3 linked regions of the Zea mays genome follow. The protein of the gene in region 2 binds, or shares a complex with, the protein of the main gene of each other region. Links are inferred from orthologs where the notes say so. Each region holds a gene or a part of one and is shown on either strand. Other genes may lie near its edges. The genes, in order: uncharacterized LOC100280033, O-sialoglycoprotein endopeptidase and uncharacterized protein LOC100276896.

The links.
Region 1: the proteins of O-sialoglycoprotein endopeptidase (region 2) and uncharacterized LOC100280033 are in contact, whole or in part, in a cryo-EM structure (PDB 8K20), measured with the Arabidopsis thaliana proteins. The link is inferred for Zea mays from reciprocal best matches to the Arabidopsis thaliana genes AT4G22720 and AT5G26110. Residues at the interface, in NP_194003.1 of Arabidopsis thaliana: Glu147, Arg149, Arg151, Phe194, Lys202, Gly203, Tyr235, Glu239, Ala243, Val246, Glu247, Glu250, Arg251, Ala254, Arg272, Met280, Glu283, Arg284, Arg329; in NP_001331017.1 of Arabidopsis thaliana: Ala19, Glu20, Lys41, Lys42, Tyr43, His45, Ile47, Leu48, Arg56, Gly158, Leu159, Val161, Asp168, Arg178, Arg218, Gly219, Lys221.
Region 3: the proteins of O-sialoglycoprotein endopeptidase (region 2) and uncharacterized protein LOC100276896 are in contact, whole or in part, in a cryo-EM structure (PDB 8K20), measured with the Arabidopsis thaliana proteins. The link is inferred for Zea mays from reciprocal best matches to the Arabidopsis thaliana genes AT4G22720 and AT5G53045. Residues at the interface, in NP_194003.1 of Arabidopsis thaliana: Arg47, Leu54, Leu58, Gln91, Val92, Ile95, Arg98, Val99, Leu100, Gln102, Leu103, Ile319, Glu320, Asp321, Ser322, Phe324; in NP_850925.1 of Arabidopsis thaliana: Ile33, Thr36, Ser37, Val40, Asp41, Lys42, Ala78, Asp81, Val82, Leu85, Arg88, Thr89, Ile90, Phe93.

The regions. Positions count from the first base shown.
Region 1 is NC_050100.1:34,849,354-34,857,178, forward strand, and holds the start of uncharacterized LOC100280033, read left to right. Parts: upstream 1-2,953; 5' UTR 2,954-3,179; intron 3,180-6,704; exon of another isoform or gene 6,705-7,825.
Region 2 is NC_050101.1:140,539,393-140,547,088, reverse strand, and holds O-sialoglycoprotein endopeptidase, read right to left. Parts: upstream 5,054-7,696; 5' UTR 5,025-5,053; coding exon 4,437-5,024; intron 2,930-4,436; coding exon 2,774-2,929; intron 2,682-2,773; coding exon 2,280-2,681; 3' UTR 2,279-2,279; intron 1,560-2,278; 3' UTR 1,150-1,559; downstream 1-1,149.
Region 3 is NC_050098.1:199,129,457-199,136,808, forward strand, and holds uncharacterized protein LOC100276896, read left to right. Parts: upstream 1-3,820; 5' UTR 3,821-3,945; coding exon 3,946-4,001; intron 4,002-4,915; coding exon 4,916-4,988; intron 4,989-5,070; coding exon 5,071-5,126; intron 5,127-5,219; coding exon 5,220-5,340; 3' UTR 5,341-5,591; downstream 5,592-7,352. Other genes in the region: Probable xyloglucan glycosyltransferase 1-like, read left to right, coding at 1-237, 1,096-1,404, 1,494-1,784, 1,883-1,996, 2,131-2,751.

The sequences.
Region 1 (7,825 bases), on a different chromosome or scaffold from region 2:
ACCGAGGTTCGGTTCCAAATAACCTAGTCCCCGTTGAGGTGGTCACAAAGACCGGGTCTCTTTCAACCCTTTCCCTCTCTCAAACGGTCACTTAGACCGAGTGAGCTTTCTCCTTAATCAAACGGGTCACTTAGACCCCGCAAGGACCACCACACACTTGGTGTCTCTTGCTTTGATTACAAGTCACTTGATAATAAGAATGGGAAAAGAAGAAAGCACGATTGCAAAAGCCAAGCGACAAGAGCGACAAATAACACACATATCACTCTCTCTCTCTCAAGTCACTAATCACTAATGATCACTTGTCTTAATTGTTGAACTTGGAGAGATTGGAAGCTTTGATTGTGTCTTTGAATGGATTGCTAGCTCTTGTATTGAATGTGAAGGATTGGAGTGCTTGGGTGAAGTGAATGGAGGTGGTTGGGGTTGTATTTATAGCCCCAAACCACTTCCTAGCCGTTGCTCCCTTCTGCCGACCGCGGACGGTCCGCACCCCTGGTCTGGACGGTCTGCCCCTGCACATCAATGGCTAAAATCGCAACGGTCAGCAGTAACGGCTATATCAACGACTACTATGCATTAAATGCGTCGTCAGATGTCAGGTACCGCAGTCGTGGACGGTCCGGTCGTGCACCCCGGACGGTCCGCGAGGACGCTTAAAATTCATTTTACCGAACCCGTCACCTTCGGGTTTTCTGGTTCTTCACCGACCGGACGGTCCGCGCCTGAGGCTGGACGGTCCGCACTTGGTCTCGGACGTTGCTCACTTCTCAATCGGACGGTCCGTAATGTTGTCTTGCGTTTATGCAGTGTTCCTGTACGAGGGTCACCCTGGTGTCGCGGACGGTCCACCCTTAGGTGATTTTCCAAAAAGCTTCTCCTGTCCGGAATAATCTACGGTATTCCAGACAGTCGAGTTAGAATGGTTGTAGATGAACTTATGCACCTGTGAAATGATCAACTAGGCAATCTGGTTAGTCAAAAAGGTTTGTGATGGTCGTCAAACACCAAAATCGATTATAGGAAATGTCTGAGACTATTTCCCTTTCACTTTTAATATACAATTTCTCATTGAACACAGAAGTATCTGCAATATAATCAGCTTGACAAGCTGCCATTGCTTTCTCGGTCTCTCATCGATATGGTATGATATAATATATATAGGTCAGCCTACTTGTATTGTGGATCCGTTTAATTTCTTTCCATTAGGCCTTGTTTGGAAGTCCAATTCCGAGGGAGAAAACGAGCATTTCACCGTGGCCACAACCCACCGTGGAAATAGGCCCGGTGAAAATTTCCGGTCCGTTTGGAACGTGCTCACCCGGGTCAGCGCTCCCCCAACCCGACCTATCACCGGGGGAACCCCTTCCCGGACACTTGACTCCAGGCACCTTTCCACGACGCGGCGCGACGAGACGGGAAGTCGTCTGCGCAGCCATAGTGCAGTCGTAGCCACTACCATCTATGCGCCGCCGTCCGCTCCATCACCACCATCTATGCATCGCCGTTCGCTCTGCCGTCGTCCATAGCGCCGCCGCTGTCTTCCACGGACGATATATGGTCTTCGCCCTCCTCTCGCTTTCCTAGGGTTTCGAACCATTCCCCCAATTTGATGTTAACTCTTCTTCGGCTTTGATTTCCAAGATCCAGTACAAGGTTGTTGCTGTTAGGCCGCTCAGGTTTGTTGAATGCCGGTGTCGCGCTCGTGCTACAGAACCAAAAGATCCAGTACAAGGTTTGCTGAACTCATGCTCTGTACGATCTGCTCTGTGCTCTGTACGATCTGCTCTGTGCTCTATACTTTCTCTTGCAACTATGGATTCAGTGTTGGTAATAGCTAGTTAGTTAACTGTAAACCAGTGGGGAAAGTGGCATGGGGTATCTTTGTTGCTGTTGGTGTCTCTGAGCATATAGAATTGCGGAATAGATGTCTCTGGGCATATAGATCTATCAAATAGTTGCCGAAGAGGGATGAGGGTGATTAATTAGTGATCAATTGTTTGTCTCGTTAGTACTTGCCATGGTTGTTCAATGTTTCCTTATCTATTGTCTCATTGTTTGTGCTGATGCTAGTACTTTTGATTTTGATAATTTTATATTTCTTTCAAATGATAATTGTAACTTTAGTTTGTTCTAATTTATATAGGTATAAACCATTTTGCTGTGGCATATTGATTCAGCTGGTTAAATTTTACAAGTGTATGATGTTTACCTGCATAGCCTTGTTCAAAATCTTTGCGAGAACATTCGGTATTGTCTCGAACAGAAATGCTTGTCATGCCTTTTGCTATGATTATGTGTTGCTTATGTAGTTTCTCGATTTCTCTAGATATGGGTTATTGGGAAGAGCTAGCTATACAGTTTTTGTTGGAGGAAGAAGAAGACAATGCAGAGTTTTTCTTTATTCTTCTCCCTGCTGTACTTCCATTCCTCTCTAAAAAGAAAAGGTCTATCCATACCTCCTCTCTCTGGTGCCTAGAAGGTTAAGGAGATTCTCGAAGGGCATGAGAGTTGGTGCAAGTCGAGTTTCGAATGAAGCCAGAAATATTTAGAGCCACATCAGATTTCCTTAGAAGAGAGGGTTTGTTACGTGACACATGAGGAGTTAACGTCGAAGAGCAGGTTGGGATGTTCATGTATATGATCTCCTATAATGCCAGTAACCAAATGCTTCAAAAGGCTTTCCAACACAGTGGAGAGACTATCAATCGAAAAATATCAGAAGTTTTCGATATAGTTTCCACCTATGATGCACGAATACTTCTCAAAATTTACGTATGATGTCGGATGCCGTATCAGATACGGATACTCCTCCGATACTTCCGGATACGTATCCGAGGCTATGAATTTAAATAAATAAAAAAAGACGGATACAATTGGACACGTGCGTGATACCCTGATTTCCCCTGCGCACTGCTTCTCCCCACGGCGCACGCGCACCATCTCCTGCGCGCCGCCAGTCCGGCTTCTCCTGGCTCCTGCGCGCCGCCAGCCGTCAGCCCGTCACCGATTGGAGATCCTTGGAAACCTGCGCGCCGCCAGCCCGTCACCGCTTGGAGACCCGCTCAGCCGCGCTTCCCTGCGCGCCGCCAGCCGTCGCCGATCCGTGGCCGCGTCCGCCGCCGCCAGCTCTGAGGTCGCGCCGTCAGCCAGCCCGTCTGCCGTCGTGAGGTACTGAGGTTTGTGATCTGCCGACATCTCCCATCTGCCCTGCCTGACGCTGTACTTGTCCGGTTGTCCCATTCTCTGTTCTTGTTAGATCCCAATATCCCATGGCAACGTGTGCATCTACCGATGCTAGCAGCATTAAATGTTCTTGGTACTAGTAAATCCATGATTAACTTATTAAGATTACTATGGCATTGATCCATTTCAGACATTTCAACATTTAATTTTATTTATAATATATATTGCGTATCGCCGTATCCGTATTTTTTGAGAAATGGCGTATCGGGGTATCGGCGTATCGCGTATCCGTATCTGTATCCCCGTATCAGGGCAACATAGGTTCCCACTCTAACTCAGCGGTCCGTGAAGCTTCCCAATTCTATCCAGACACATCAAAAAATTATAACAGATTCTAGGTTCATGTCCTTTTTTCAGGTGACCTATCAATAAACATGATTTCCTTAGTTTTTCCCTTTAACATGCCCTAAACTTCCTCTCCTTTTATACAGAATTGCACTCTGAGACCAAAGGAAAACCCCCAAATCGAAGCTATGGCTCCCAACTCACCAAATAGATCCTCGCGACCAGCTAGAATTTTTGAGGCACCCACCACCCGCTGGGCGGAGGAACGAGGGGGAAGAACCGGTCGTCGGCCCAACCGTGCAGATCTGGCCGAAAGGTCATGCTTGCGGAGAGCGGATGGCTGGCCCTGCCCTAGGGCCCTCGCTGGCCTCCGTGACGCCAGGCTCTGCCGCATATGGGTGGGGGTTGACTGCGAGCGGTGAGGGGCGGCTGCGGCGACCTCGTGGATGGGCATTGCGGCTGGCTGTGGAAGGGCATCATAGTTTAGGGGTGGCGTCGAGGCCGAGACCGATGGAAGAGCCGATCTCAGATGGGTCACGGGGTGGCGGTATCAAGGACGGGGGCGAGGTACTGGGCCACGCGAGGTGGTGGCGTGGAGGGAGGGGATCAATCGTGGGCTAGGGGGCAGCGGGTTTCCGAGGGAGCTAGGGGGGGGGGGGCACAAGGAGGACATGAGTGGGGGCATGGTTGTGCATGTGGTCTACACTATTGACTTAATAGATAGTAGAGATATGCAATAACCGTATATACAAAGAAGTTCCACTATTAATTGGAATTGACAAACTGTATAATGATTATTCAATATTAAAGAAAGAGATGATGTTATACCTTATGAGATTATTCATCAATATTAAAGAAAGGACTTACTAGTCCCGGTGCTTTGCTTCTGCAGTTTGAACCTGGAAGCAAAATGCACTGCTTGGCCTGTAAACACGAAGCTATTATAGATGGAAAGAGAGCCATTCCTGCTTGACATGTTACAACACTTGGGTTTTGGTCGAAGCTGGTGCAACCTTATTAGTCTGTTGCTTTGCACTTCCTCTACACGGATCCTTGTCAATGGCGAGCCTAGGGAATACATTCTGCATCATAGGGGTCTTCGGCAAGGCGATCCTTTGTCCCCCATGCTGTTTATCCTTGTCATGGAGGCTTTGAATGCTATGGTCAGTTATGCTTTCAGGGAACATATGCTGCAGCCGATTGCAAATCAACATGCCAAACATTGTATCTCCTTCTATGCTGACGATGTTGTTTTGTTCATGCGGCCCTCTCATCAGGATATCTCAGCAATTATCAGCATTTTAGACATCTTTGGTCATGCTACTGGGTTAAAAACGAACATCTCCAAAAGTTCTGTTACACCCATTCAATGTGGAGCGAATGAGCTGACCACCATTTCTGCCTTGTTACCATGTGCTACAAAAAATTTTCCCTGCACTTACTTGGGGATTCCTCTATCAATCCGTAGGCTTGCTAACTCTGATCTCCTGCCGTTTGTTGATAAAGTTGCTGATAAACTTCCAGGATGGAAAGCTAATCTTCTCAGCCGGGCTGGTCGTCTTGTCATGGTTAAGACAGTGTTGTCTTCTGTCCCTATCTATCTTATGCTTGCTTTAGAACTACCTAAATGGGTTTTTAAGGCAATCGATAAGAGGAGACGAGGCTTTCTTTGGAAGGGGCAAGGTGATGCAAATGGAGGTAACTGTCTCGTGTCTTGGGAAGCTGTCCAGCGGCCTCTCAAGTATGGTGGTCTGGGTATTCTCAACCTGGAGATGTTTGGATGGGCCCTACGTGCCAGGTGGCTTTGGTTACAAAAGACTGACGCGTCAAGGCCATGGGCTGGTCTCCCTATCCGAGTGCACCGTAATGCAAAGGCCCTCGTTGATGTGGCTATTACCTCAGTGGTAGGCAGTGGTGAATCTGTGAAGTTCTGGTCTGATTGTTGGCTCCTTGGTAAAACTGTGGCTGAACACTGTCCAACCCTTATCCAAGTGATTTCTAGAAGGGCTTTAAAGCGAAGAACAGTAGCTGAGGGGCTCACAAATCGTCAATGGGTGTCAGATATTCGGGGAGGATTGTCTGTAACGGTCCTAGTAGAGTATCTGCAGCTATGGAACTTGGTTGATGGGGTAGTTCTGCAACCTGACATCGCAGACCAACACATCTGGCGCCTCTCTGCTCATGGTACTTATTGTAGCAAATCGGCCTATGATGCTCTCTTTGTTGGCTCTATCCCTTTTGGCCCTTGGCGACGTGTCTGGAAGACCTGGGCCCCCTTACGATGCAAATTCTTTGTATGGTTGGCAATCAAAAACAGGGTTTGGACAGCTGATCGACTTGCTAAAAGAGGTCTGCCCCATCCAGTTGCTTGCCCTCTGTGTGATCAGGCCGAGGAAACCATCCAACATATTCTTGTCTCTTGCGTGTTCGCTCGGCAGATATGGACGTCCATGCTACACAATTTAGGCCTCCTTGCCATTGTGCCTCAGCATGGATGCACTCGTTTCTCAAATTGGTGGTGCCAAAGTATCAAGAAAGTGGAGAAGAGTCTAAGAAAAGGTCTTAATTCCTTGATCATTTTGGTTGCTTGGGAGATTTGGAAGCATCGTAATGCTTGTGTTTTTGAGGGGGTTGTGCCCTGCACCCAGCGAGTTCAGAGTGCTGTGATTGAGGAGGGCAACTTCTGGTGTTTGGCTGGTGCATCAGCTCTGCAGGACCTCCTGCTGCACAAGCTCCCTAGGGGACCTTAGCAGTTTTCCTGCTGGTAGTCGTTTTTGGTCGGGTTGTTACCTTGTGTGTGTGTGGTGCGTTGTGTTTTTGCCGGAGGGGTCTCGGCCTTGGGGCCTCTGTAATTAGGGGTTGACAAGTCTTGTCTCTCCTATGTTCTTTTTTTCTTCTTAATATAATGACACGCAGCTCTCCTGCGTTTGTTCAAAAAAAAAAAAAAAGAGAACGCCTTGATATACGACAGTATTAACGCATTAAACTAGCCATAATGGCCTCATTTAGACAGGAAACCAAAATTTTTAGTACATAAGCTTCTTCATCATGATACTATAATGCTAGTTTCAAAAAGAAAAGAAAAAAGATACTAAAATGCTAACTCAATTACAAAGGGGATCCTAGGAACACCACCTCCTCTTCCAATGCACAGGTGACACTTTGCCAACCACTTGGAGGTGCAGGTCGATTTTGTTTTATTTCTTGATTTCGGACTACGGCTACCACTTGGAGGTGCAGGTCGAACAAAAAGAAAGGCTACGGCTCTGTTCTTGATTTCGGACGAACACAACAACAGAACGGGACCCTCTTCTTCTTTTTCTTCTGCCCGCCACCGCGGTCCTTCCTCCCACACAGATAGTCCCTCAAAAGCACGCGAGTGCGCTTATCAGAGACTTTGAGCCTTCTGTACTCGTGCTCTTCCTCAAGCTTCAGCAAGACATACTGAATCTTCTGAAGCTCCAGTTCCAACCTTGCCACATTCTCCGACCCTTTCTGCACCTGCTCGGAGATCTTCCTCCTGCTGGAATACCCTTCTCGCTCGGTGCTCATATTATCTGACAGTGTGGGGTAGTTCTCAGCCGTCCTAGTCAATTTGTTGTTCAGATTGATCTGTTCCAAGACATGGCCCTCTGTCTCATGCACCTGAGCGCTCACACTGCTGTACTCAAGAGTTCATAGGGGATTTTCCCTTTGACTGCCCCTCCATTTTCTGCTTCAACTCTTCAATGCTCGCTTGGATGCTCAACAGCCTCTGAGCATCAGAAGTGAGCCTCTCAAGTACGTTCTTGCTCCACGCCTCATGAGGCTCTGCAGCTCCCTTCGACGCTTCTAGCTTATTGATTCCAAGGTCTCTTCCCCTTGCTAGCTCAGACGAAGGGTGCTCACTCTTCAGATCCTCGACGGCTTGTATGTCGTGCTCAGATGACGAGGACTTGGCCGTTTGGTTCTTGCAGATCCTCTCTGCAGCCTCCCACAGCTGAAGCATATCGTCATCGAGTTTGGCATTTGCACCAGTTCCAAGCGGATAGAGGGCAGCTCGAGCACCATATGGTGGACAAGTGGATATTTGGTCCAGCTCAATATCCTTCATGATCTGGACTTGCTTCCCTTTGGAGATCTCAACATCTTGTTTCTCATGATCAGAATATATTTCTTTTCCCTCCATGCGTGAGCCACCTCTTGCTTTAAGGTCTTGAATTTCTGCACTTACTGCCGCCAATTTAGCTGCAGACTCAGCTGACTCCTGATCTTGACGATCTTTAGCATTTGATACAACTACTTGAAGTGCTTC
Region 2 (7,696 bases):
TTATACGAAGTTGTACATCACCCTATTTCTTCTATAAATAAGGAAATTGTGCTCATGCAGAGGGGAGAGGACCACTTTTCTATTACTAATGCATTTACACGTGTCTGAAACACTCAGCATCTGAAGTTGTAAGGGTACATCCATCTTGGAATATTTCATTGTAATCATTTATAACCTCAAGAATAGTAATAAGGGGCAATAAATGTGCTCCATAACTTGTTTTTTCATATACTTCGCTTCATATATCTTTTATGTATTAAGAAGCCTTCTTCCCTTATATCTTTTCCTCTTCATAGGAGGACATGAGAAGAAGGCTTCATCAATTTGGTTGTGTTGCTCTGTGTTTTGGTTTCTTATTAGAATCTCAACTAATACACAACAGGTGAGATAGATTAATGATATAGGTTGTAGGTCTAGCTTCCACAGTGAATGTGTGTTGAGGGTGTTTGCACTAGAGCTAAGCAAAAAATATGTAACCCGAAATACTTTTTTCAAATCAGAAACTTCACTCTTCAAATCTTCTGTCAAACTGTCACAACATATATGATACGGAAGTCGTACCCAACAGCCGAACACACTTAGCAAGACCCACTTTCTTTCCAAATCAGATCTGCATCTTCTACCAGAATGTCACAAAATATTAACGGCCCGTTACCAGTCGCATGTCTGTCTTACATGAATGACACCCGATCCGTAGACAACGTACAACACACCTACGAACAAGATCTATCCTTGCCGAATCAGATTTGCATCAAGAAGTGTATCCAGTGTCCATGATCTGCGTAGCGTCATGAAAGGTAATAAGACCATAACAAAACCATTGTCCACATTCCAAGGACATTCGCTTCTGGATAATGCAATCTATACACGTTAGTTGGGGTGGGGTTTATAAGACAACATATCTTGTGCATCAACCTGTGCACCCAGACATTTAGAGACATTCAATTCGCATCCAACACAAGCGTAGTAGTTTTTTCTCGCAAAACAAAACACCCACATAATAATCCAATGTATATATTTTACAGAAAACCACCACCTTAGCTGATGTGCATTGGATGCGAATCGAAATAACTCCCCACGTTCCCAAGAATCCAATGTCGATCCAAAAGAGGCTGCTTTAGAACCTTAACAGATTACCATCACAAGAGTAACTTAAGAGTTAAGCTAGCTTTGCAGAAATGCGTCTATTAGTTTACAACAATAATAAGTTCACTCGATGAAGTAACTAACTAGAATGTTAAGGTGATAGGTGAGGTTTGATCCATGTCAGCGATTGGTGAGGTTTGATCCATGTCAGCTATCTTCAGGTATGTCAGGCATACGACATGTTCATTTTACCTGCTGCAGTTCATACAACAGCACAACTATTCTGAGCCCCTGCCATGTGCCTGGAGGAGGCTTCTCCCAAACAGAGCAAAGATATCACATTTAGATGTGGAACTATCTGTTTGTAGAGTGAAGTTTGAGATAGGAGATGAGATAGGACTATAGGAGATCAGTTGGAGATAGCCTTAGGAGTGGTTCTAGGCTTTACCGTACAAGCATTTACTCTTTACTGTCTGACAGAAAAGAAACAACCTCATCAGATTGCGGCTGCTCAGAAGTAAAACACATGAGGATATGCAGTGAAGCATAAAAAATCTATAGTGGTTCCTTCTGTTTCGTATTGTCCAAAAAAAGATGCATAGTTTTGCATTTAACAGCATGGTTTGCACACTAGGTAAAACTCATGCACTAGAAAACTTCATTTGTAGAGCATATTCATCATGTAGAAAAATCAAACGCACGAAAAGTGGGATCACACCCAACATCGTATCATCCACAACTCCACATGAATTGCCAAGTACTCCTTCCATTTCAAATTATGACACATTTTTTGGGTTTTCTAGATACATTGCCTTAACTATATATATCCAGACATAGTGTACACCTAAGTACATAGGTTCCTGTTTGGAACCCCTAGAGATATTAGTTAGCTAGCTAACAAATTGATAGCTGGGTTGAGTCAGCTAATGAACTAATTGTTAGCTGTGAGTTAGCTAACAATTAATTGGGATATTAGTTGTGGGTGTTTGACCTATACAACTAATTTTAGCAGTATTAGCTCTAGAGGTTCCAAACAGGGCCATAGCAAACACTATGCATCTAGTAAAGCAAAATGTCTTAGTTTGGAATAGAGGGAGAGTAATTGGTAGCGATTGTCTCCAACAATCCAAATTGCATTAGCTATCATGAAAAAACATTAGCAGCAAGACAAAATTGTAAAGGCCAATTGTACCTCAGTAATCTATAACGATTGGTGTTGCCATGGAGGCTTCATCTTTAGAAACTTCAGCAATTGCATCTGAATGGGTATTATTTAGCACCGGCATCTCCTTCTCTCTCCAAATTGCATGAACTTCATCAGTTCGGAATCTTTGTGTAAATGTCGACTCCTCAAGGGGAGTGGTCATGCCATGTGCATACGCCAGTAAACCAGTATATGCAATCATTGCCCCATTGTCTATACAATAGCGGTCATCAGTTGCAAACAGCCTACCCCCTCTTTCTGAGCACATAATCTTCATCATCTCCTGTAAACGTTCGTTGCAACCGACGCCACCAACAATAAGAACGTCCTTTGAATCACAGTGTGCCATGGCACGTTCAGTAATTTCGACAAGCATGGCAAAGATAGTTTCCTGAGAAATTAGGACTTTCATCAGTGTCACTGTCAAGAAAGCATAACCAATTATTATCCACAAGGGGGGAAAGTTTAAGAGCATGCAAGTACCTGCAATGAGTAGCATAGGTCCGCAGGTGTGCACTCATTATTTTTAAGCTTTTCAATCGCCGCAGCTTCAATAAAGCTCAATATGCCACTGAATGACACATCCATACCCTTCACAACATAAGGGACATCAATGAATTTTTCTCCCTTCTTTGCAAGCTGGACAAGGAAAATAAATACGGTAAATTAAGAAACCAAACTCAAGGATGAGAAAAGAATGTGCCATGTTGTACAAAAACATAAATCTGTTCAAGCTTCAAAGTGAAAATGTCTTCAAAAACAAAACAAAAAAGAAAGAAAGAAAAATGCTAATGGTGACAGCTAATACAATGATGAAGGTAGAATGGTAGATAACAATACCATGTGGAACTACTTCAGAAGTACTCTCTTGAATGATTCACACAGACTAATCCATAGTGTCAACAATGTTAATAATAGTGTCGAAGTTCAATCTTAACATAGGCCAATCAAATGGGGACTTCCTGGGATTATCCTATAAGCTCAAGCCCTATGTATCCAGGGATAAAATGTGAAGGCTTCCAGGGCTCAAAAGCTTATTGTCCATCCATCTACACGACCACTCAAATAATTTAGCACATACAGCCAACCAAACACCATTCAACACATGCAGCCCTACTTCAGACAGTCAGCTAAATTTAGTCTCAATATTCGAATAAAGGTTTGAGAAAAAGGAACATATATAGAATGAAGCTAATTATGACCCCATACTGGTCAAAGTGCTTAAACGACCAAACAACCCATTGGATACATTTGACCTGGCCGTGATACAATAAATGTTCTTCAGCTGTATGTAAAAAGATAAGTTCTGTTGGCTGATTGTATGAGTTGGCAAAATAAGAGTAAGATAGTGTTTGGCTACCTAAATGTGTTAGTTTAAAAGAAAACAAGGAAACATAAGTGATTGCATAGACTGAATAAATCTATGGTGACCTTCATTATGCAAGCAATGTCACACAAAACTAGTCCTACATAAGATCTGCCCAGCATATTATATAGTTCAATACATAAATATAATCAAATGATCGCTATGTTTCAACAAAACATGCTCCCTCTGTCCCAAAATAAAATTCGTTTTAGAGATTTATTGGATTCACACAATACTTGATGAGTCGATGTTTGCGTTTTATATTTGTGCCTAGATTCATCTTCATCCATTTGAATATAGACATAAAAATCAAGAGCTAAAACGACTACTATTTTGGAACGGAGGGAGTATAAAAGTAATCTTGCCCACAAGTACAACACTCCATTATTTGATGGAGGCAACAAACTAGCCACTAAATGTACAGCCAGCATAAATTAAATTGCCTATGAATTTCGTAATGTAGGTTAATTTTTCAATTAAATTCAAGTGGCTAGGGTCAGTAAAAAGTTCAAGAGGTGCCAAAGTTCCACTGATAGCTCCAGGACTCATAAACACCCTTTCATGATAAAATACTCATGGTGCACTAATAACTTTTACCATTTCCCTAACAATTTGCCACCCAGGGCATTTACATGTATGTGATGCAGTCGTCATGGTGACAATACTTCATGCTAGAAAAACACTCACACAAACCAGCATCTATGTGCATATCGCTAGAATTAAACAACATTAAGCAACAGCAATTGGATAACAAAATTGGCATTTGATGGAACAGTTTACCTGCTCGATGTTATACCCGGGGCTAGGGTCATTGGAGAGCTCTAGGACCCTGGCGAATCGGTCAAGGCAGTTCCCGACGGCAATATCAATCGTTTCCCCGAAGATCCTGTACCTCCCCTCGCTGTAGGCGATAACCTGCGTGTTTCCGCCGGAGACGTAGAGTACAACGGGGTCCACGGCCCCAGTGACCGCGCGGCCCATCTCGATGTGCGCAACGCAGTGGTTGACCGCCACGAGAGGCTTCCTCCATAACAGGGAGAGCGCGCGGGCGGCTGCGGCGGCGACCTGGAGAGGGCCGCCCATGCCGGGGCCTTTAGTGTAGCAGACGCATGCGAGGTCAGCGGGGGCCACACCGGACTCAGCGAGCGCGGCGCGGAGGAGAGGGAGGAGGTGCGCGAGGTGGTGCTGCGCGGTCTCCCGGGGAAGGAATCCATGACCCGGCGGTGTCACGTAGGTGTGGCGCGGGTTGGAGAGGATGTCACCCGAGAGGGAGACCACGCCGATGCCGATCTTGTTCGCCGAGGACTCCAGCCCCAGCGCAAGCGGGCCCCGGGGACGGCGGTTCGCCGGGGACGGAGACGAGGACATGGCGGCGGCGGCGCTAGGGTTTTGGAGTTTGTGGAAGAAGACGAATTGGTGAGAACCCGGCTCGCCGCGCGCCTCGAACGTGGAAGTGTACAAGAAACCAGCCCAATTTTGGCCTTAGGGCCCATAATTTCAAAACAACTTAGCCCAGTGGCCCACTGACAGTGGTCGAATTAATGTAAGGTCAGTGGAAAATACGATCTTTTTTTCATGCAACAGTTGCTGAATATGGCCATCAGGCAACGTCATTGTGATAACAATCTAGTGCGAAGGTAGTTGTTGATTGTTTGGAGTTATAATCTGTTAGTTCAAAAGCTGTTGGATTATATAATCTAGATGTATTATAATCTCAAACAAACATCCTATCAACAAACATCCTCTTAGGTGACAATTTATCTCACTTTTTTTTTAAGATTAAGGCCATATTTGTTTACCCTCCACATTATATAATACAGCTTAAATAAATTGAGAGGTAAACAAACAACACCGATTATTAGATGGATTATATAATCTATATACCTAGGTTATAATAATCCATAAGCAGATCAATAAATGTTTATATAATTCATAAACTGGATTATATAATTCTAGAAGGAAATAAACAGAACCTAAGTATAACACAGTTAACTGAGAACCAAACAGGTCCTTAATGATGTCAGCACTTACTCTGATCAATGAATCTTTGTTTGGTAGGAGATGATTCAACCGGTCCGTACCATTGTTTTTACTAACACAAGGGAGACTGCTTAATCTAGCAGTTTACTTCTAATGAGGTTTATTACTCTCAAACACTTTATAAAGTCGTTAACTTCATAGAGGTAATACGGGTGTATGTTTGGAGTCTTAATATACCCCTAGAGTTCACTTTTTTCTTGTGATGGTTGTCTAAGAACAAGCTACTAACTCGTGACAATCTGAGTTTGAGAAGGAAAGTAGAGGACAAATCTTGCTTATTTTGTAGTGAGTCTGTGGATCAGTTTTTCATCTCTTTCTTTGACTGTGTGTTGTAGTTAAATAGCTATCGTGTTGTATGTCTAAAGCTCTAGATAAGAGTGTAGGCGTTGATTTTGTTTCAACAGGGCAAATGTGGCTTAGTGAAAAAAAAAGTTTGTGGTAGATAATATGTTTTGTTGTTGCTGTGGCCCTATGGGGGGCTTTGAAAACTAAGAAACGGTATTTACTTTCAGGGAACTTGCTGGGGACAAGCTGATACAGTTAGCTAGAACCAACTTAACTCGTAAGCTTTTTGAACCAAACAGGAATTATTGTGGGTTGAACCCGTTCTAACCCGCGTCAACCCGTTAACCAAACACACCCTAAGTTTCTTCACCAGAGTGATTCGGACTGGGAGATGACAGGGATCTCGGATGAAAGAAGCCACAAGTCGCCTGGTAGACTACTCGCCGTTGGAAGATGTGTTTGAAAAAGGGAACCTCCGATCCTGTAAATAGTCTTGCGCATTTATACGAAATTGTTAAGGATGCAACGTGAAGTTACAATTGATTGATTTTTTTTCCTAATAGCCCAACCAATCACGTCATACATCATATATGGCTGCAAACTACAGTATGTTCTTTCTTTTGACAGGCTTGTAATTGCTTGTGGGGGGGCGTGTCCTTCACAATCTTGCTGGTCGGAGCCGGCGTGCAAGGGTTTCTATTATATTGTCAATTTGTCAAACTTCGTTCGCTACCGAGTTCATCCTGAAACCTGCATCCCAAGATGGGATGTTTGACACGGAGGAATTTTCAGAGCTCAACAACGTTCACTTTTTCTCCGGATCGCTTTATTTACTCATAGCTGCGCTTGCTATGCAGGTAGCTTGTTGCCCAGCTGAGCAAGCAGACACATCACCCTATACATATAATGGAGGTACTAATAACGCGAGCACGTGCATGATAATTCAATCTATAGGTTCGTTCTAACTTCATCAACTGTATTTCAAAGTTTACGTTTGGTGTTATATATGTTTTGATGTTAGAAACTTTGGAGAGGACTAGCAATAAGTTAGAAAGGGTCTAGGTACTAATGAGAGAAGTTAGGACGTCCACAACAAGCGAGAGTACAAGTCCAACTCGACTTTGACTCTAACTCGGAGTCCAGGACTAGCTCGCACTAAAACTGACGTCCAGAACACATACAGACTCCATTTTCGGCGTTCTTTATATGAATGTAAAACTAATCATATAAGCTTTCCAACCCAACTGATCTCGTTTTAAAATTACTTCGGGGTCAACGGGAATCATTGAAAAACTCAGTATCCATATTTTGTTCCGGTGTTGTGATACCATATTTTTTGTTGTTGGCCTGTGTATCGTGTTCGAGCCTATTGGAGACGTGTCCAGGGGTCTTGTGGGTAGGGGTGGTAATGAATCACGATCCAAATGTATTTTTACAATTTGTTTGAACCCTTAGTTAGTTTTAGTTTTAAAATGAATATAAATAGGTCTCGTCCTAATTTGATCTGTTCCTTAAATTTTATAATGTAAAATTTAGAGCTCGTTAGCATTCTTACTTGCACACCCCTAAACCCTATTTTATCAACAACCACCACCACCATTAAGATTGAGATTTTCTTAATGTTCACCGCTTTGTCAGACCCCGCCTCGTGACCAATATCAGTTTGATTGTGTTCTTACTGTTATTACTTGTGTTCTTGGTTATGTTTGCAGATA
Region 3 (7,352 bases), on a different chromosome or scaffold from region 2:
CGCGTCCGTCTCGAGTACCTCGCGCCGGCGCTGCAGTTCCTGGCGAACGCGTGCGTCGTGCTCTTCTTGGTCCAGAGCGCCGACCGCCTTATCCTCTGCCTGGGTTGCCTCTGGATCAAGCACAGGGGCATCAGGCCTGTCCCCAAGGCTGGTGGCAAAGGGTCAGACGACGTCGAGGCCGGCACCGGGAACTTCCCCATGGTGCTCGTGCAGATTCCAATGCGCAACGAGAAGGAGGTGAGCTGGAAACAAAAGCATTTCGATTCTCTGCCGGATTCGGGATGTGTTCATGCATTTGGGATTGGGCCTTGAGTGCCCTAGAAGCATTGGTGGTCGCAGAGATCGAAAGATTCGATTTTCAAGCTGAAACTGGGAGGACTCAACAGATGGTGGAATACTGGAATGGGTAGTTTTAGACTGGGGAAACCTTGGCTCTAGTGCCACTAGCGGAAACACAAAGGGCTCTAGTTCTACGTACCATTTGGGGATTGGACTGATGCATATGCATACAAATGGTATGTGGCAGTTTCAATTTCTGGCAACAACTCCCGAAAGCACCAGTACATGGTTACTACTATAGTTGCTACCGACATTTTGGTGAGGTTTTTCTTCTCAAAGTTCGTTAAAAACTCGATTCTGAAATTGGAATCTGTGGTCATTGGTCAAAGGAAAATAAAGTCTGTTTTGGGTTGGGGGACGGGATTCTAGAATACACTCCTGTCTCTCTTGTTTCGCACCTTGGCCTCCCAAAACACATTTAGACCTTGTTCGTTTCTCTAAGAATACACCATGAATCGTTCTAGGTGATCAAAATTTATATAAACGAGGGAAACAATCCAAGCTAGGAACGGTTCCGAGTCACCGGAAAACCGAATGGCCCCTTAGGAAGTTGGAGGAATAGAAAATTCTCAAATTTTGTCTTTTGCAAAAGAGGACTAATGGACATTGAACTGATCGTAGGCTTGGAGGAGGAAACCGCTGAAACCAATGGTTGTTATGTTAGCATGTTTTTACATCTTACTAAATTACTACTTCAGAAAAGTCTAAGATTACATTTTTTTAACAATCTTGAAGCGGGGATTTATATGGTTGCAGGTGTACCAGCAATCTATTGGTGCTGTTTGCGGTCTGGACTGGCCAAGGCCAAACTTCTTGGTGCAGGTGCTAGACGATTCTGATGACGCTGCCACTTCAACACTTATTAAAGAGGAGGTGGAGAAGTGGCAACGGGAAGGCGTTCGCATATTGTACCGACACCGGTTAATTCGTGATGGCTACAAGGCTGGAAATCTCAAGTCAGCCATGAACTGCAGCTATGTAAAGGATTATGAGTTTGTTGTTATCTTTGATGCTGATTTTCAACCCCAGCCAGACTTCCTGAAGCGAACTGTGCCCCATTTCAAGGTTTGGCGGACATCTTTTGCTTGCATTTTCATCTAAGGATGAGTCCATGTGAATTCAATTGTCTGACTCATTGTGCGAGAGGTTTCTAGGGCAATGAGGACGTTGGGTTAGTTCAGGCAAGGTGGTCTTTTGTGAACAAGGATGAGAACTTGCTAACTAGGCTGCAAAACATAAACCTTTGCTTCCACTTTGAGGTGGAGCAGCAGGTTAATGGGATCTTCCTCAATTTCTTTGGATTCAATGGAACGGCAGGAGTGTGGAGAATAAAGGCACTCGAGGATTCAGGTGGATGGATGGAGAGGACAACAGTGGAGGACATGGATATTGCTGTCCGAGCACACCTCAAGGGTTGGAAGTTTCTGTTCCTTAACGATGTTGAGGTACTTACACATATATAACATTTTACTTTATGGTTATATTATATTGTGTTAAGACTTGTGATTACAAATGAAGCTGTGTTGCATGATTATTCTTTCAGTGCCAGTGTGAATTGCCGGAGTCATATGAGGCATATCGAAAGCAGCAACACCGATGGCATTCTGGTCCCATGCAGTTATTTAGACTCTGCTTTGTGGATATTATCAAGTCGAAGGTGTGGACCTTTCCTTGCTCTCTATGATTATATGCTCAACAATAAGTTAACATGTTTGCTTTTCGGAAAATTTTGAACCTTTTTTTATGCTGGGGCTAACCGCTAACCTTTCATTCCTTTTTTTTTTGCTGCAGATCGGATTCTGGAAGAAGTTCAACCTCATATTTCTTTTCTTTCTCCTCCGCAAGCTCATTCTGCCCTTCTATTCCTTCACCCTTTTCTGCATCATCCTTCCCATGACGATGTTTATTCCCGAAGCCGAGCTCCCTGCCTGGGTCGTGTGCTACATCCCGGCGACCATGTCCCTGCTGAACATCCTCCCAGCCCCGAAATCGTTCCCGTTTATCGTGCCCTATCTCCTGTTCGAGAACACCATGTCGGTAACCAAGTTCAACGCCATGGTCTCCGGCCTGTTCCAGCTCGGGAGCGCCCACGAGTGGGTCGTCACCAAGAAATCAGGCCGTTCTTCCGAGGGCGATCTCGTCGTCGAGAAGCAGCCTAGACAGCAAAGGGCAGGGTCCGCATCCAACCTTGGTTCCCTTGCAAAGGAGCCTTCCTCCAGTCTCAGAAAGGACTCCCAAAGGAAGAAACACAATAGGATATACAGGAAGGAGCTGGCGCTCTCCTTCCTTCTCTTAACAGCAGCTGCTCGGAGCCTGATATCGGTGCAAGGAATACACTTCTACTTCCTTCTGTTCCAAGGGGTATCGTTTTTGGTCGTTGGGCTCGATCTGATCGGCGAGCAAGTTGAGTGACGGGAATACAAGGGAGAGTAATGGCGGTATTTGTTTTTGCTGCGAGCGGTGGCAATGCGAACAGGGAGCACTTCAGGTAAAGGCAGGCACGGTATATGATTCAACGCAAACACGAGAAGATTTGGTTCCGGATTAAGAGGGGTTATAGATGGTTAGGGATACTTGAAACGGTGTACTGTGGATTGTAGATATATGGCTTGAGACTGTGGACTGGGGTCTGATTCTTTTGTAAGAAAATCTTTCAGTGGGGTCATTTTGCTTTCTTGACAGTTTACCTTCAAAGGGGGATACTGTTTGGGATCCATGTAATTTGGCCAGTTAGTACGAATGCATACTGAATGATACTTGTTCGTTTCTTGAATTCTAACATGTGGATAAAGGATTGCGCTAAGGGGAACCCAGAAAAAGGGAAGAAGATGTTCTGCATGAGTGCATCAGTAGAATGCCTACGGGCTCTGTTTGTGAATGCAAGAGCGCAAGTATGAGCGACTACTGCTATTGCCGTCAAAGCAGTTGACGATCGGTGAATCGGTGATGGTGGGGTGAAGCTAACGAGGAGGAAGATGAGTTTGACCCCGACGATAGAAGTGGTTGGCGATAGCATTTAATTTGTCGCTAAGACCATGTCCAATAATTCACATTCAAAACACTGTCAGTGTAGAATTTGTTAGTGTAGAATTGCACAGTTTGTTCATAAAGTGGAGTTTAAATATATGTATGAAGATGAGAATGAATAAACTATTAGAGATAAAATAGCCTAACGGACAACATCCCGTTTTCAAAATAAATCGTAAAAATAAAATCAGAGGAGAGGTTATCTCGATCGATTCCGCTTTCGTTTTCAATCTCTACTCGGTCCTCACCTCGTGTATGCTGTATGGTACTTGCTACCTACTGCCATGCTGGGCTCGTCCAGGAGAGTTGAGAGTTAAGCCCGTCGACAGCATTATCGACTAAGTGGCCCTACATGGGCCCAGATCACATGCGGCTCACGAACGGTAATCTTCCAGCCCACTTGTCCAGCAGTGATGGTGGAGAGAGACAGGGTATCAGGGGAACTGGGGAAGGGGTTTAGGAACAACCCATCTCCATTCACCAACGGCGCCTCCAACTCCGAGCGCCGCCTCTGCCTCGAAAACTCTTACTCGCGGAGCTGCAGCCAGGGGGGCGACCGGTGTGTGAACCGCTGCCGCTATGGCTGCTGCTTCCGTTCCGCCAACATCTTCATCCGGCGGCTGGGACTTCACCTGGTGAGTCTTCCCTCCCTGCCCGTCTTCCAGTCTCCCTGCCTTCTATCCCTGGCCGGCAGTGTGCGGATGCAGTCAGATTTGCGTACTGTTTAGGTACGTAGCTTCCTTGCTCAGCTAATTTGCTGTTACGATTCCTTTGTGCACTGCGAATGCTGTTGACGGCTGTGCCCTGCCCTGTGCGAGGCTGCACCGCCATGCTTGTTTCATGTTCGACGGATTTCCTTGGAGAGAAACTAACGGTTATTGTTAGGCAGAAAATGGCAGTGTATAAACGAATGTCTAGACCACCTAAGTTCGGACTCTCTTTAGGGGCCGTTTGGATTCCTTTATTTTGGAGGAATTAGGATCTACTTAATAGAGTAGGCTATTTAGCTTGGAATTTTGACATTCCACCACTTTCTAAAATCTAGATATAAGTTTATCTCAAATTGATAGGATGAAGCGTGGAAATTGATTTATTAATGTATCACCAGACTATGTTTCCACTCTATAATTGTTAGTCAAAGATTTAAAAGGTTAGACTTCTTAAAATACACGCATGCCTTAATCAATGGGATGAAGGTACATAGGAAAACCGTGTATTTTCATGAATGATTGTTGGGGAAAAACCGACTGAACCTGTGGGAATTGGTAGCATGTAGATGTAGCTTGGCAAGTCCATCCTTATTATGATTTCCAGGGAGGGGTAACTCGATATCAGTGTCCATAGCTTTGCTTGGTTCCCCGATTGACCTCGACACCGTGCTCTGATGATAATTTGAGATGATATTTTCCTGATGGGTCAAAGAAAAAGAAAAACGCAACGACTTGATACATGTTACCACTACTTCCCTACCGTGTAGGAGTATTTTGCTTCTGCTGTGAATGATTTCTGGGTAGAACTCACAGCGCACCACTGACATATCGTTTGGCAGTAACCTTGAAGTCGATTATGGGTCTGAAGAAAATGCATCCATAGTCTACAGAACGTTAGCAGTTGACAAGGAGGTAAAGTAGCCGTATTCTACTGGCACTTTGTGAACTCGTCCAGTTTTCATCTTGCCGACAGCTTTGCAACTTTATATTGCAGTTGCAGCCTGACAAGGTGAAGAGGGAGATGACTCTATCAGGCAGCAAGCTGGCCGTGTTAGTATATCCGTTCTGTCATCTCTAACTGTTTTTCTGCGCGTTCCCGTGTCAAGGCTAAAGACTGAAGTCCATCTTATTTTGCGAATTCAGCCACTTCGCAGCCGTGGAGGCCCGCTTCCTGCGAGCATCGTTCAGCTCATTTGTGGATCTTATGGGACTCGTGACGAAGCTCGTCGAAGAATATGGTGTGGCCAATGCAGGGCATTCTTGAATCTTGATGAACAATCTCATACACGGCATTGCGGAGTTGATTTTAGTTCGCCTGTGAGCAATTTGGAGTTTTGGACAGTCTTTACCAGTGGAACTGCTCTTGATCTGTGTCAAGCTAGTGTAGTATTTGCCCTTGATTGGTCAAATCCTATTCGGAACGGTTAATTCTTTTCGGCAATGCCGTTGTGAAATGTATAGATGATGAATAGGTAAAAATTATCTATATATCCTCAGTTAGGCTTTCTCCACGAGTAATGAGTGGTCTTGGTCTGGTCTCTGGTTGTGGCCTCTCCGGATGATGCTATATGTCATCTCCCATCTCCGTTATCGTGTTTCTCGGTAAAAAAAACGTTACGAGCCGTTTTCTCTATGCAGTGGCAGCTACACCATAAACATAACTGTTATGATATTGCAAGACTATCCTAAGATAATATAATAATGCGCACAAACACGAGGGGTGTCTATTTCTTACTTTTGATCGTTAGAAAAAACCTAGAACAAGCACTGATAATAGTGGTCTTACTAATCTAAGCACTTCGCAAAACAACTACGTTAATTAACGAGTAATTTCTTAAGCATTTAGATGTTTAGAGCTATTGTGTTTGAGTCTCAACTCAATGGCTATTTTTTCTCAGCTCCTACACATCTCAAATGGCTGGTTTAGGATCCTATTAATAGCCTTAAGGAGAGATATAGCTGTTGTACTAATAAAAGCCAACTCCACTCACCATCTGATCGTCCAATGGTTGCACTGTTGGACCAACGCCTCACAACGGCTCTTGTCAGTATTGTGTCAACACAGGCTGTTGCCCGACTGTCAGGGCCACGCTCTGTAGTGTATAGTGCGACGTCGTTGGACCAATTTGACACCACACTTTTCTATCTGGAACCTTTCTGCGTGATCGTTAGACTCGTCTAAAGTGTTCTCACGTCCATGAACAGTTACGATCTAAGCTACTGTGAGATGAATAGTATGACTGTATGGTCTAATGCTCTAATGATTAATGGTCTTGTGATCACATCAGATGTCCTGTTCTTCAGTCGACTAGTGTTTGGTTCTACCGTATAGTTCCTTTAAATCCTTTTTTTGTTTTGTTTATTTATGATTTTTGTGTTCAGCTTGGTTCTATCCTGTGTTCTTAGATTCTTGCATAATCTTGTAGGTCATCAATGAGCCTTCTAATGTCTTTTTTCAGGTGTTGATTATCATGATCACCTCTTTGCTTTCGTCCAAGTCTATATTACATCTTTTAAACTATATCAACATTAGTGTATAAAATTATTTTAAACAGTTACGTTGATCATCAAACATCAAAACATAATTGTCGAATTAGTCTTGGTCTGTTTTCCTTACACGTGAGTGCTCCAATAAGAATTAGTATTGAGTGGCAGCTTTCTTTCTAGCCCTTTACTTTGAGCATTTGCATTTGAGAAAATTAATGCTTAACCTTGCATTACTACAATTGATATGCTAGAACAAGGTTGAAACCTAATATATATAATTTTTATGGTAGAAAGGAAAACACTCGTAGAAACAAGGAACAGTGTGGGCTATCCAATATGATTTAGTTGTTTCAAGAAATTAGCCTAATTCACCTCGATTACTCCGCTGTGAAAAACCGGACAAAACACTTCAGAGCTTATTAAAAAAAACTCAAACTGCAAAGGCTCATATGCTCTGGCATGCTTTGGTGTAGGATACATGAGAGGATTTTTTTTAACTCCAATCTAAATTTCGTTTTCATTGGGAATTAAATTCAGAACATGAGAAATGCTACTCAATTCATACAACCAACTCAACTAGTGACCATTTTGCACCCCGGTGCTTAATAATCATCACAATGCGTATAAAATTAGCCTAACTCACCCCTGACTGTATTCCGCTGTGAAAAACCGGGCCAACACTTAGGTGCTTATTAATCATCAAAATGCGTATGAGCACTTATAAAGAGAGACATGGGACATTTATTTCCATTTAGTCATACTGTAAAGAGAGACATGGGATGAGTAACT